Linked DNA regions of Caenorhabditis elegans. The protein of the gene in region 2 purifies or fractionates together with the protein of the main gene of each other region. This does not show direct contact. Each region holds a gene or a part of one and is shown on either strand. Other genes may lie near its edges.

Region 1 (3,234 bases), on a different chromosome or scaffold from region 2:
ATTTTCAATTAAATTTACAGTAGTTCTATCAGATTTTTGAATTCAACACCCGGAATTAATCGAAAAATGAATTTTCAGTTGAAAACTGGCCAATGTCTTGCTGGGAAACAATTAAAACATGAGAATTCCTATATTTGTGGCGGAAGATATCTCATAGCAAGACTTCTACCGTATCCTTGAAAAAGAATCACAGCACTTTGGAAGATAATTTCAGGAGCGCGCTTTATCTTAGCAGAATTAACACAAAAATGGACGACTCCCGTTTAGATGGAACGACTCTTTATAAAAAGGTCACACGAGAGACGCCTTCGGTTGAGTCATACAACTATCAGCCAAGCAAAGAACCGAAAAGCTTTGAAAGCTGCGAAGCCTGCTATCCGCCCCGCAGGCGAAGAACGGATCGACCAAGTACCCTGAGTGGCGTGCCAGGACTCGGAGTAAGCATTCAAAAAAATTAACAACGACAAATGGGTGCAAATATAATTGGTGAGACGAATGGAGTGAACAACAAAAAAAAAAGATTTAAGTTTAACAACAATTTCATTAGGAAACAATAACGAGCAGCAGTATTTACTTCTTGCTGGTCTTCTTGACCTCGGACTCGGAGTGATGGGAAGCCGAAGAGCGTCTGCGGGCGATCTTGGCGTCGTGCTCTTCCTTGGAGTACTTGGCGAGGAGCTTGTGGTAGGCAGCGGCGTCATCGCGCATCTTGATCTTCTGGTTGCGCTTCTGGCGGAGAAGGTACTTCTTTCTGGCGATACGAGCTGGGGTGATGAGACGCTGGATCTTTGGTGCGATGGTCTTGGTGACTCCTGGAAATTTAGACAGTTAAAAACTAAATTTAAAGAGAATATTGAAGAAACTCACCATCTGGGAAGGTCTTGTCGTGGGTGATGACGTATTTGGTGACATCGTCGTGCTTGGTCAAGTTGAAGAGCTTGCGGATCTTGGAGGCTCTCTTTGGTCCGAGCTTGCGTGGGAGAACGGAGTCGGTGAGTCCTTCGATCTCTCCATCTCCCTTCTTCACGATGACGAGGGAAAGAGCGGACATGTTGGCGTCGACGATGCATCCACGGACGGACTTTCTCTTGCGCTCTCCGTTCTTGCGCTCACGGTAGCAGGATTGTCCCTTCTTCAAGAGAAGACGAACACGTCCGTTGGTGAGAATTCCTTGCTTCATTGGGAATCCCTGCTTGTCGTTTCCTCCTCCGATTCTGACGACATATCCCTGGAAAAAAGCAACTCGTTTGAAAGAGCCGAGAATCGGTTCAAAAACAAAAACTGGGACTCTCAATGTATGTCTAGTCACAGCCATTTCAGCGAAGAAAAAGCACGTGAAACAATGAGGATTTGACACAGAAACATCACTTCGTTTCTGTGTTTTTGGGTGACTCGCTAACCTTCCACTCGTCACCGAGAGCATCGATGGCGACCTCCTGGGACATGCGCTTCTCGAAGAAGAGGCGAAGCTTCTTCTCCTCATCGACCTCGAACGACTTTTGGAGCCCGGTGGCTGGGTAGGCGAAGTTAAGTCTCATCGCTCAAATATTATTACCTGCAAGAAGAAAAACATTGGAAATGAGTTAACGGGGTGAGAAAAGGAGAAACTGAAGCGAAAAACGAAAACATGGGCCTAAAACTAATAAATTTGATTTTCCAAGCAAATATCCTGCGAAATGTGGAGGAAAACTATCAGGAAAACATTTAAAATTTTGAAAATTCGAAAAAAAAACCGAAAAGTTCGCCTAAAAATGAGAAATTCACCCAAAAATTCGAGGGAAAAATGAAAAAAGGAGCGAAAACTTTTTAGGCCAACGACAATTCCAGTTTAAAGGCGCACGCCCTTCGTGGCGAGACCCATCCCCCATCCGCCTCGTCGTCTGCTGCACCCCACCTTTCCCACACTATCTCGTCCGATGGATTTTATTTTTTTCCAAACTTTTCCGATTTTCCGACTCGATTTTCGGTTTTTCTTCGATTTCCGCCGAAAATTTGCTGTTTTTCTTGATTATCGATTTTTTATCCGCGTTTTAAGTGCCAAAACTTTGCTCTCACACTCAAATTGACTGATTTTCGAATTTTTTCAGATGCTTTGCACCCATATAAAGGCGGAAGATTGTGTGGAGCGTGTGCCCAAGGGGATGTTCCGCAAGAAACAGGACATGGAGGACAATAATTTGTTCTTGGAGGGAAATTCGAATCGTGGGAAGGTGGTGAAGTGAGTTTTTTTGAGAAATTTGGCTAGAAAATGGCTAAAAAAAGCTAAAAATAGCTTTAAAAACTCGTTTTTCTTCCAGAAACCAGGAAATAATTAAAACCTTCTGCGACGAATGCGATAATTGCAATAAATCGCTGATGTGCCTCACTTGCGGACGAATTCTGTGCGGAAGAAACGACTCGGGCCACGCTTTGCATCATTTTGAAGAAACCAGCCACCCAGTCGTCATTGATTGCATTTCTTTCGAGCTTTACTGCTATTCCTGTGATGATGAAGTGTCACTGGACTTTGAGCCATCTTTATATGGAGTTCTAAAATCGCTGAAGCTCCTTTTCGACCGGGAAGACGTTATGGAGGGAGGCGACGGGCCGACTATACCGGCACAGCCTTTTCAGTGCGTATTTTTCGAGGAAAATGGACTAAAAATTGGTTAAAAACCGATATTTTATCGATAAACCCTGCTAGAAATCGAATTTTCCACTGAAAAACGTTACAGTTCTCGTAAAAATCGTATTTCCCATGAAAAGTCCGATAAATTGCGATTTTCAGTGAAAAAAACGCCAATTTTCCTCAGAAATTCCATTTTTCTCTCTGGAATTTCTGAAAATTTTGATTTTTCAGTCAAAAACGTTCGTTTTCTCATAAAAATTTATTTTTCTTAAAAAAAAAAATGAAAATCCTAATTTTCATCGAAGAAACTTTAATTTTCCATTGGGAAATCATTTTTTCCGCAAAAACTTGAACAGAACCCTATTTTCCTCACGAGAATCACTAAAATTCCGATTTTCAGGTGAAAAAACATCAAAAAATCGTATTTCGCCCTAAGAATCCGAAAAATTCCGATTTTTCGGCAGAAACTCATCAATTTCTGCGATAAAATTCATTTTTCCCACTAAAAAGCCCCTAAATTGTGATTTTTCAGGGGAAAAAACATCAAAAATCCATTTTTCCTCCTAAAAAGCCAAAAAAATCCGATCTTTCAGCACAAAAAACTTCAAAATCCGTTTTTGCACCTA
Region 2 (4,778 bases):
GCGAAACCATCGAGTGTTCGCACAAAATCATCGTGTCAAAAGTATCATAAAACTAGTATTATATCGCTGAATGTGCCCGCGCTATAGATGCAGATGCAGGGAATATGATCATCATGACAAAGGCGACGACACGGCAATAGGGAGCGGAGGATCGAAAATTGCCATTAAAAAGTGCGATTCTATATCAAAGTTAGAAAAAAAAGAAGAGACGAGGAAAATGCCGTATATTTGTTGTTTCTGATGGATTGCCTAGATAACTACACCTTATATGATGTTTCACGGGTTGGTGTTTATAAAAGAAAGTGAAACATATACTCACCGATCACTCGACATTTCGTTGATTGGGCTCTTGTTGTCTTTGCTTCGAGACCTGGAAAACAAACAATTGATTATGATAATTTGAACTTGTAGTGCGTGAAAAGATTTATGAAACGTCTTCTTATAAACTAAGCAGACAAAATTACAGCAAATCTTCCAAATTTCCTATCCCAAGAAAACATTCCGATAACAGCTTTTTCAGTGCACCAACATTTCAATTTTCCATCATAAATTTACAAGTCCCTATCAAAAGAATGATCAAGTTCTAGACAGAGCATTCTCATGATTGAAGCCACCGACCAGAGTTTTGTGTTATCATTCTAAACGTATACGATAATGTCTTCGCGTTGTCAATTGTCCGGTAAGAGAATGACAACATGGACTACTAACCGTTATGAAAATTCAAGACTTTTGTTGTCGCTATTTCCAAGGAGACCAACGAATTGGAGGAAGAGATTGAAGAAATAAAAAGAGAAGAGGACCTTCTTCTTTTTCCTTTCTCCTTTTTCTCCCGAAAATAATTGCGTGGTGTGTGTGCGAAAGAACCAAAAGCAGCCAGGCTCAGCTATGGCGAGGGGTGCCACTACCAAAAAAGAGTACTACTTTTGACGCTGAGAGAAGCATCCACATCAGCTAGAAAATAGAAACGAACGTGCCATGACGAATTTCAAACATGTTTTCTTTTTTTTCAACACAAAAAGCAGACTCCAAACTTAGTTGGTTCTGAAGAACGCATAAAACTAAAAATATACTGCAGAAAAATCTGGTTTCAGTTCTGAATCTAGTTTGCAGAAAGTGGAGTAAGCAGAATCTGTTTGAATTGCATGCCACGTTGATGGTTTTTGTTTTACTCAGAAGTGCCTTTTTATTGTTAGGGTGATTAAAATGAAGTGTGCCTAAATTATCAGTTATCGTAACTACATGAAAAAATAAAACAAGTTCTCAAAAGTTATGGACAGAAGGTGAAAATCTGTTCACACATTGCCTATGTCAAAGTATGCGAAGTGTCCGCAAATTTATGCATATAAAAACGGGTGAATCTGTTGTTGAGGTGGTAGTGCTAGTGTATAAAGGAGAGGTTGTAGGCACAAACGAGTGGTCGACTCTGGTTAGATGGCTCCAATAGATGAAAATGGAGAGAAAACACCAAAAAGAGAAGAGCGCTCCATTTCCCCTAGCCATAGACGAGAACGACGTTTAATCGCTGCTCTAACGACGGAAAGTGGGTGAAAAGCGTTGAGAGGCTCGTTCGAATAAATGAAGAGAGCCGAATAAAAATAAGAGCTAATGGCGAGCAACGTCGTCTAATAATTTGTATTGAACACTCACCAGTATTGTTGCTCATCTCCGCTTGCTGAATCCTCTTCGCCAGATCGTCGCCGAACTGAAAATATTTTCACAATATTGCGGTTTTAAAATGATGTTCTTGAACATACCAGCTTCGTCATTAGCCGAACGTCTGGTTCCTTTTTCGCCGCCATTTCCACGCGGTGCTCCTTTTCCTTTACTTCCATAGTCGACTGAGATATCAACCTTCTTCCAACTATTTTTAGTCATCTTTCCACCAGTTTTGTGTTGCGAATTGCTACTGCTTTCGTTATTATCATCCTGCAATAATACATTTAAAAATTAACTCAAAATAAGTGGGAACCGCTTTTTCAGCAAAAAATTCACTCAATATTCAAAAATTGAATCTTAAATTTAAACCGCTTTAGAACTATGCACGTTTGTATATTAATCATTCACAGAGTGACTAGCTTATATAGGTAAAGCTATTTTCAAAAAAAAAGAAGTTTCGTGTTTCATTTACAACTATGGCTATGAAAATCCGTGTTAGATTGAAAAAAAAACAATTAACTCACTGAATTTGATGGGGAGACATGTCCGTTAAGCTCGGCTTTCGCTAGAGTTGGCCAATCCTGAGTGGCAGCAACAGTGACTGTTTCAGTAACAGGAGCAGTTGCTGCTGGGGCTGTGGATGTTTTCCATGGCTCTTTCTTTGATTCTCTGGATTTTGACTTCTCTTTGATTGGCGCTGCTTGTTTAGGAGTTGGCTCAACAGCCCGTTTCTTTTCTGGAATTGGCGCTGAAGATTTCTGAACGACTGGAGTTGCAGTAATAATAAATTGGTCTGCGGCGGTTTCGGATTTTTGTTCCTTTTGAGCTGCGGCAGCTGCGGCTTCAGCTTCTTCTGAAACTATGATTTTTTTTTGGAAAACGTGAAAACCCAAGAACACTTTCAAAAAAGGCATAACCAATTCGGTTTATGAATATATAATTTTAAAAAAATCGCACCTTTGTTTTTGAACCAAGCGTTTATAGCCGGTAATGGAGCTGGTTCCAGCACAACAGGAATCTCAACTGGTTTCACCTCTTCTGTTGCTACCTTTTCAGCTGGTTTTTCGGTTTTAGTCTCTCCTCTCGGTTTTCGATCGCCTTTTCTGTTATTACGACGTTTTCCTTTTCCTTCACCTCGTGGTCTTTCCGAACGTCCACCAACATTTTCCTTTTCACGTCTGTTATGTGGTGGATGTGCCTGCTTTTCGGGTTGACTGTTTTCGTTTTGTGTAGAAGAATGAGAGCTATCTTGCGTGTGCTGAACCTGCTGTGATGGAGACGAAGCGTCTTCCGCCTGTCCAGAAACTACTTTTGCGAATGAGAGCATGGGCTGCTTCTCGGCCATCCGATCTTCTTTTCTACTTGCTGTTGATGTTAGCAAGTTTTTCTTACCTGGAAAAAAATATTTTGGACTGAATTGGCATTGGAAAATTTTTAAAAAACGTATTCCGAAGTGCGACAAAAAAAGTTGAATAAATTTACAAGCTAGAAAATGGAAACATGGAAGAACATACTATCCACTTTTTCGATTTTGAAGAACATCTAAATTTTTTAATGTTGTTCAGAAAGATTGTTCCGGTTTTTTCAACTTTCTGAAAATAAGACGGTAAAGAATTTTATCAGAATCGTTTGAAGTTTTGGAAAACAAGAAGACTATGGATAGAGTTAATACTTTCGATAAAGTTTTTAATCCGCCTGAGATTGTACCCTTGACGACAAATGGAGAGAACAGAGAAATGAGAGAAGATATTTAACCTTTAAAAAAGTGTTTGAACTTATTTGTTAGAAACCTTAATCAATGAAATGTAAAAGAGAAATCGCTTAAATTTAAATATTTGTCCAAAAAATCGATACTATTTTATTCTGAAATATTAAAAAAAACAGAAAGAAAGAAAGACATAAAATAGCGAAAAGTTCAATTTCTGCGTAGCGCCCCTATGCTTTACCATTGCACTAGAAGTTTACACACAGTCTGGGGGTACACACGAAATGCCCGGCAGCTCGCGCACCGAGAACGCGTCAATAACTAGCCCTCATGCGTCTTTTTGGTCGCCTTGACGCGATTCTCGTGTCCGCTGGTTTTGTTGTTTTGCCGAGTAAACACACGTTTTGAAGGCCAAGACGGGACAGATTATTTTTTTTTCAATTGTTTTTCTGCATGAAAGAAAGCAATGTTTCTTTACTCTATTTTCCCCGTTTCGTAGAAATTTCAATGTCTCCTCTTCCCTAGTTTAACCTTTTCTCAGTTTTGAAATAATCTTTCGATAAAATCAATGATGACTCATAAAAGTTTGTCTTATTAAAAGCGCTCATACTTCCTTAACTTTTCACTCTTTTAGATAATGCCTCCACCACCTCCACCACCGCCGCCTCCACCTCCGCCGCCACCTCCGGCTGCATCGGCTCCGCCACCATCCAGCAATGCTCGAAATGCTCTTCTTGGCGATATTCATGTGAGTTTAAAGTTTTTTTAATTTGTAAAAATAATTTAAATATTCAGAAAGGTTTAAAACTGAAAAAGACAGTCACGAATGATCGATCAGCGCCATCTGTTGGAAAAGTCGTTGGAAGTAGCGGATCTTCATCGAATGGAAATTCTGGAAACGGAAATGGTCCGGCTGCTAAACCTCCACAAATGTCTGGCGGATTAGGAGGTCTTTTTGCGAATGGAATGCCAATGAAACCAAGCGAGAATAAAATTAGACGAGCAACTACTAGTATAGGTATATCTAAGTTTAAACTTTTTGGCAATTTAACGCAATTCACAACAAGAATTTAAAGTACTAGGAAAATATACATTTCAATGTTTTAAAGTATTTTTTCTCGCACGGAGAACAAACTGGCAAAAAAAATTGTTTTCAGTGATATCCCTTTTTAAAATAACCGTTACCCATTATAACCCTCTATCCCACTTTCAGGACCCCCTCCAACCGCCTCATCAGCTCCACCAGTACCTCCTCCTGCTCCAGTTCCAGCTGTTGAAGGTACACATTCAGTTTTTGTTGTCGTTTTCCCCCAATTTTTGGTTTTTTCACTAATTCCAATTAACCCAAGTGAAAAAACAAATGTTTTTTTCAGGAAAAAAGCCATCGATTGTCTCATCATCTTCATTTTCTCATCAT
Region 3 (5,193 bases), on a different chromosome or scaffold from region 2:
TCTGCATCAAAACAAAAATATTGGACCATTTTTCTGGAATACTTTTTGTTTTGCAGTGAAACTAATGAAGTTAGTGACTGAAGAGAGATAGAGAACAGTGAAATGTATTGCTACGTCTAAATTGTGTTTTCGATAAGAGTTTGTGTACATGAAATAGGTATGAGAAAGAATTTATTGAAAATGTGAGAAATACCGAAAGAAAAATCAATCATCTCACACTTTCATTAAATTTGGGAGGGGTTTATGTCTTATGTCTAAACTATGAATAATGAAAGTTTATCTTCTATCTGCAACAAATATTCACTGGAAAACAAACAAAACGGTAGAACTATCATATGTACAATACCAAAAATCAGAATCTACAGTTAAATACAATCAAATTAACAGGTGTGTTCTATTTATAAGTCCTCGTAAAGTCCCGCGAAAATCTTACCACATTGTCCAACATTTATGCGGTTGTCATCTACACCTGATATGAGAAAATGTAAAAGGCAATTGTTTAAATTGTTATAATCTTCCAAAAAGTTCTAAATTTTATTAAAATTTGTAAATAAAAAAAACAGTAATTTCTTATCAATTCGCCCAGAAGATTCTTTCCGTTATGCCAAGTTGTTCCTCCATAGTTCTCAATTCGTCTGATTCTCTCTGTAATAATGCATGTTTTTGGTGGTCTGGCCCTTGAATAATTTTAAAGTTTCTATTCGAATACAAAATTGAAAATTGATTTTTTTTCAATAAAAAACCTTAAAATTTTAAATTCGGTAAAAAAACTTGGGCGTTCAAAGTTAAAAACAAACCACGCAACAACTTTACTTTTCTTTCAAATGAAAATTAAATTCATACTTGAAGCTCCTCTCTTCTTTTCCTCAACTCATTCATTTTCTCTTCTGCTATTTTGTTCTGCCCATCTAGCACTTTTTCGAAATCTTGTCGCATTTGTTCCAATTCCTTTTTTGCGACTATTGAAAAATTATCGTCCAATTCAAAAACGCGTCTAGAGTTCCCAGGACTATTTGACAAACTTATTGTTTCCATAAATTGTGTTAATCTTGATATCCTTTTTTCGAACTTTTCCTCCAGTCTCATTTCCATTTCTTTCAATTTTAATTCAAAACTGTCTTCTAATTGGGACTTGATCTCATGAATTTTATCCACAAATTTTATCTGCAAAAAAAATTATAAAAAGAACTTTTAAAAATAATATATTTTTTAATTTTAACCTCAACTTCCAATTGATTTTTTTTTTGAAACTCGTCTTTTTTATCACAGGTGGTTCCAGTTTGATCAGCTTGTTGATTTTCGCCTAAAGGCACTTCAACCAGTTGTTTAGTATACTAAAACTATGATTGTTATTTTTAGGTAACAAATTAACACAACCTTTAAGCTCTTTGAATTTTCATTATTTTCTTGTAATTGTTTGGCTGTTGAATGATGTGAACTTTTGCCATCATCAGAAACATTTTGAATAGGAGATGATTGTCTCGAAGATTCTCTAAAAAAAATTATTGTTGAAGTAGATCTCTCTTAAGATATTTCAATTAAGAAAAACGAAAACTCACGATGCAATTTGATCATTTCTAAAATCTGGGCTGCTTCCAGTCCCAAGAATAATAGGTGACTTATGGACAAGTATTTTCTCATTAGGGATGCTGCTCCAGAAACTTTTCAAATCATCAATATCTTCAGATTCAAATTCACATGATTCTATTTTGAGCTTGTATGATTTTGCGTTCAGGCTAACTTTGTCGCTCGATCGAAACTTGACAGATAATTGCCTCGCTTCTCCAGGTTTCAGCAAATCTGAAGCAGTAGATTCAAATTGTATTTATTAGGGTGAGCAATAAGTTTTTTCGTATTTTCTCAGTTTTCATCCTTTCTGAAATATTTTGTATGTGGTACATAGTATTCTGTTAGTAGTGCAAAATATATTGAAACCATATATTTCCGCCCACTTCCAAACTGATTCATCCTCAAAACTTCGCTCGAAAAAAATATCCAATTTTTTCGATTTTTTCGGATTCTTTGGGAAATCCAAATTTTACTAAATTTCCTTCGTTCAAAAATATTACAAAAAATACATTTTGATTTTGAGAGGGTATAAAACCGACATCGTAAAAGATATAAATACGGATAAAACGACAATCTTGTTCTTCAGATTAATAGCAACATTTCTGCAGTTGAACACTTTTTGATATCTAAAACCAGTAAAAAGTGACAGGCTATTGAGTCAGAGGCACTCATTTTCGCTGAATCTGCCACATTCTTACATTTGCCTCCGTAGATTTGTTAAATCTTAATTTATCAGAAAGTGTTCAACTGCAATGTTGTTTATTACATATTTGTGCACAACTTTTCAGTTGATCAGTTTTTGATAACAATGTTATCCAGGAAGTTACAAGCGTTGGAACAAAAAACACCAAAGATTGAGAAAATTTCTCTAAATTTGAATCAAAAAAATTCGAGAAAAAAAAATTTTAAGATAACTTTGCGAATTGCACGTATTGCAAAAATCAAGTTAAGACAAAAACAAAAAACACATTATTACATGTTGTGATTTCATATTCAACAAGTTTGGTCGTTTTTGTGAAAAATGTTTTTGATAAATTCAGATTTAACAAAACTACGTAGGCAAACGTAAGAATGTGGCAGATTCAGCGAAAATGAGTGCCTCTGACTAAATAGCCTGTCACTTTTTACTGGTTTTAGATATCAAAAAGTGTTCAACTGCAGAAATGTTGCTATTAATCTGAAGAACAACATTGCAGTTTCATCCGTACTTATATTTTTTTACGATGTCGGTTTTATACCCTCTCAAAATCAAAATGTATTTTTTTTGCTGTAATTTTTTGTAATATTTTTTATATTTTTGAACAAAAAGGGAAAAAGGTATCTAATACTGCTCAGTTCTGAATTTAATTAATATTATGTATACAACTAATGGTCTAATACCTCACGGAGTACTGACATTTGGATTTCCCAAAGAATCCGAAAAAATCGAAAAAATTGGATATTTTTTTCGAGCGAAGTTTTGAGGATGAATCAGTTTGGAAGTGGGCGGAAATATATGGTATCAATATATTTCGCACTACTAACAGAATACTATGTACCACATACAAAATATTTGAGAAAGGATGAAAACTGAGAAAATACGAAAAAACTTATTGCTCACCCTAATACATAAGTAATTTTTTGAGAAAAGTTTTCTAATAAATGTGACTTACCAGGATTTGGTCGACTGACATACATATTTGGTACACTCGTTTTCACTTTGAAACATACTGGTTTCTCAGATATATTTTTCAGAGTAACATAGGCAGTATCAGTCAGATTTGTTGATTTATTGAACACAAAATTGTCGCAGGGAGTCACTTCAAGAAGAATTGTTTTACCACACATTCCTGAACACATTCAAAATTAGCGAAGAAACGTTCAAAGAGCAAAGAAACTTTCAAGAAAATGAGAGAAACGTTTTTCGAAAGAACAAACGCTACGAATTGCTATGACTAAAACGCGAGAGAGATGCTGATAAGATTGTTTACAAATTAATGTTGATCACACAACTAAACAAATCTTTTTTATTTTGAGAACACAATATTTTTGTCTTCAAAACATAAAATCATGCTCACAAGTATAATTATGGAGTCTTCCACTTCTGAGTGTTTTTTTTTCAATAAAAACTCACTCAAAAACTCATAAAGATTATAACATCATTTTCAGCATCTTAAAAACGTTTTTTTTAGTAATTATTATAACCCCAAACATTCATTTACAATTACTTACAATAGCTAAAAGATAGCTAAGATTTGTGTACATATTTCAACATCTTACAAAAATTCATTCCAAATAAATTGCAAAAAAAGTTCCACAGTTAGAAGAAAACAAATCATGATAAAACATATTCGAAACTTGAGAGATTATAAAAACCACGATTTCACTTTTTAAATGTTTTATTCTCTACGACGTCTCAATGTGAGTTCAACTCTGTTTTCTACCTTCTGCAAAACTGATTAGGTTGAACATTAGACTCTTCCCTAATTTTGTCAAAACTAACCAGCGATAGGTTGATAGGATAGATAGGGTTGTTGAAAGAGACGAAGTAGATTTACGAAACACTGTTTTGAACACGGAAAATGAAAGCAGATCTCCGATGTTTGATGAACACAGAGACGGTGTGTAGAAAACTGCCTTGAAAATATCATACTTTTTGGATGTTTTCAATTTTCCTCCAAAGGCAAGAAACTTGTTTAAATTTCTCTAAGTTTCTATAATTTATTTGTGATTCTGAAGGCATCGAAGTATGTCGATTAAAAGAAATCAATTTTTCATTCAGTGAATATAATTTGTAAATACATATGTATGTATGAAGTGAATATAAATATAAATTATCTATATCACTTAACAAATAACACATTTACTTTCAGAAGTACAAACTTCTTCTGCTTGAACATTGTCTTGTTCGTGGATCACGACGTAACTCTTGAGGTGTATCTTCGGGAATTCTAACTGCTCATAGTTGGAAACGACGGCTTTTTTGCAAATTTTTCGTAGTGATGTTGTTGTCGGAATGTCACTGAGCTTTATCATAAAAAACAACTTTTCGAGTTGTTTATACCATTCGTGGGACGGGGCGTTCACATCAAGAATATTCAGAATCGATGATAAAACAAGTGCAAAATCAATTATACTTTTCTGAAAATTGGATTTTCATTGGAAAGATAATACACACGAGAGTACCTGTAGAACTTTGATGAATAATGCATCTGTAGCTATGTCATGTTGTTCACCGAGTTGGATAAACAGAAACTCAAGAGTATCAAATAGGCTTAATACACATTCTGAAAGAATTGATATTTCTTCATATGCATCTTGAAGTGATTCCGACGGTAAGCGTTTAAAATATTTCCATTCACGCGCCTAAATGTTTAAAAAAATTATGTTTAAACACTAGCAAATGCAAATTACCACATTCTGAAAATCTCGAAAATATTCTAGGAATCTCTTGATCGGTTGCTTATAGCAATTTTGAATCCAATCAGCAACTTTTTCTTCCTTTTCCTCAAATCTTTGTTTTAATCTGATACATTCAAATAGTGCAATAAAACGATTTTTCATTTGACTTTGAATTTGTTCTAATTCAGCCTCGAACTCTTTCTATAAAAATACAACATTGCTAGAAATTTTAAATTATTCCAA

The links. The genes of interacting proteins can lie anywhere in the genome.
Region 1: the proteins of larp-1 (region 2) and rps-6 fractionate together in Caenorhabditis elegans (co-fractionation; one large-scale study listed by BioGRID). This does not show direct contact.
Region 3: the proteins of larp-1 (region 2) and ZC196.2 fractionate together in Caenorhabditis elegans (co-fractionation; one large-scale study listed by BioGRID). This does not show direct contact.

The regions. Positions count from the first base shown.
Region 1 is NC_003279.8:13,950,482-13,953,715, reverse strand, and holds rps-6 (Small ribosomal subunit protein eS6), read right to left. Parts: upstream 1,556-3,234; 5' UTR 1,539-1,555; coding exon 1,401-1,538; intron 1,229-1,400; coding exon 868-1,228; intron 813-867; coding exon 571-812; 3' UTR 522-570; downstream 1-521. Other genes in the region: usp-3 (Ubiquitin carboxyl-terminal hydrolase), read left to right, coding at 2,088-2,218, 2,298-2,612.
Region 2 is NC_003281.10:5,014,650-5,019,427, forward strand, and holds the start of larp-1 (La-related protein 1), read right to left. Parts: upstream 3,002-4,778; coding exon 2,614-3,001; intron 2,510-2,613; coding exon 2,181-2,509; intron 1,927-2,180; coding exon 1,755-1,926; intron 1,703-1,754; coding exon 1,648-1,702; intron 371-1,647; coding exon 320-370; intron 1-319. Other genes in the region: wip-1 (WH2 domain-containing protein), read left to right, coding at 3,999-4,109, 4,157-4,379, 4,575-4,640, 4,735-4,778. UniProt on the Caenorhabditis elegans protein: RNA-binding protein that promotes oogenesis by repressing fem-3 expression during germline development. Binds poly-U and poly-G stretches of RNA in vitro. Regulates target RNAs expression either by regulating their stability or translation.
Region 3 is NC_003283.11:8,737,640-8,742,832, reverse strand, and holds ZC196.2 (Major sperm protein), read right to left. Parts: upstream 3,398-5,193; 5' UTR 3,397-3,397; coding exon 3,222-3,396; intron 1,801-3,221; coding exon 1,560-1,800; intron 1,493-1,559; coding exon 1,378-1,492; intron 1,335-1,377; coding exon 1,221-1,334; intron 1,165-1,220; coding exon 844-1,164; intron 646-843; coding exon 574-645; 3' UTR 522-573; downstream 1-521. Other genes in the region: ZC196.3 (DUF713 domain-containing protein), read right to left, coding at 4,396-4,689, 4,735-4,914, 4,963-5,151.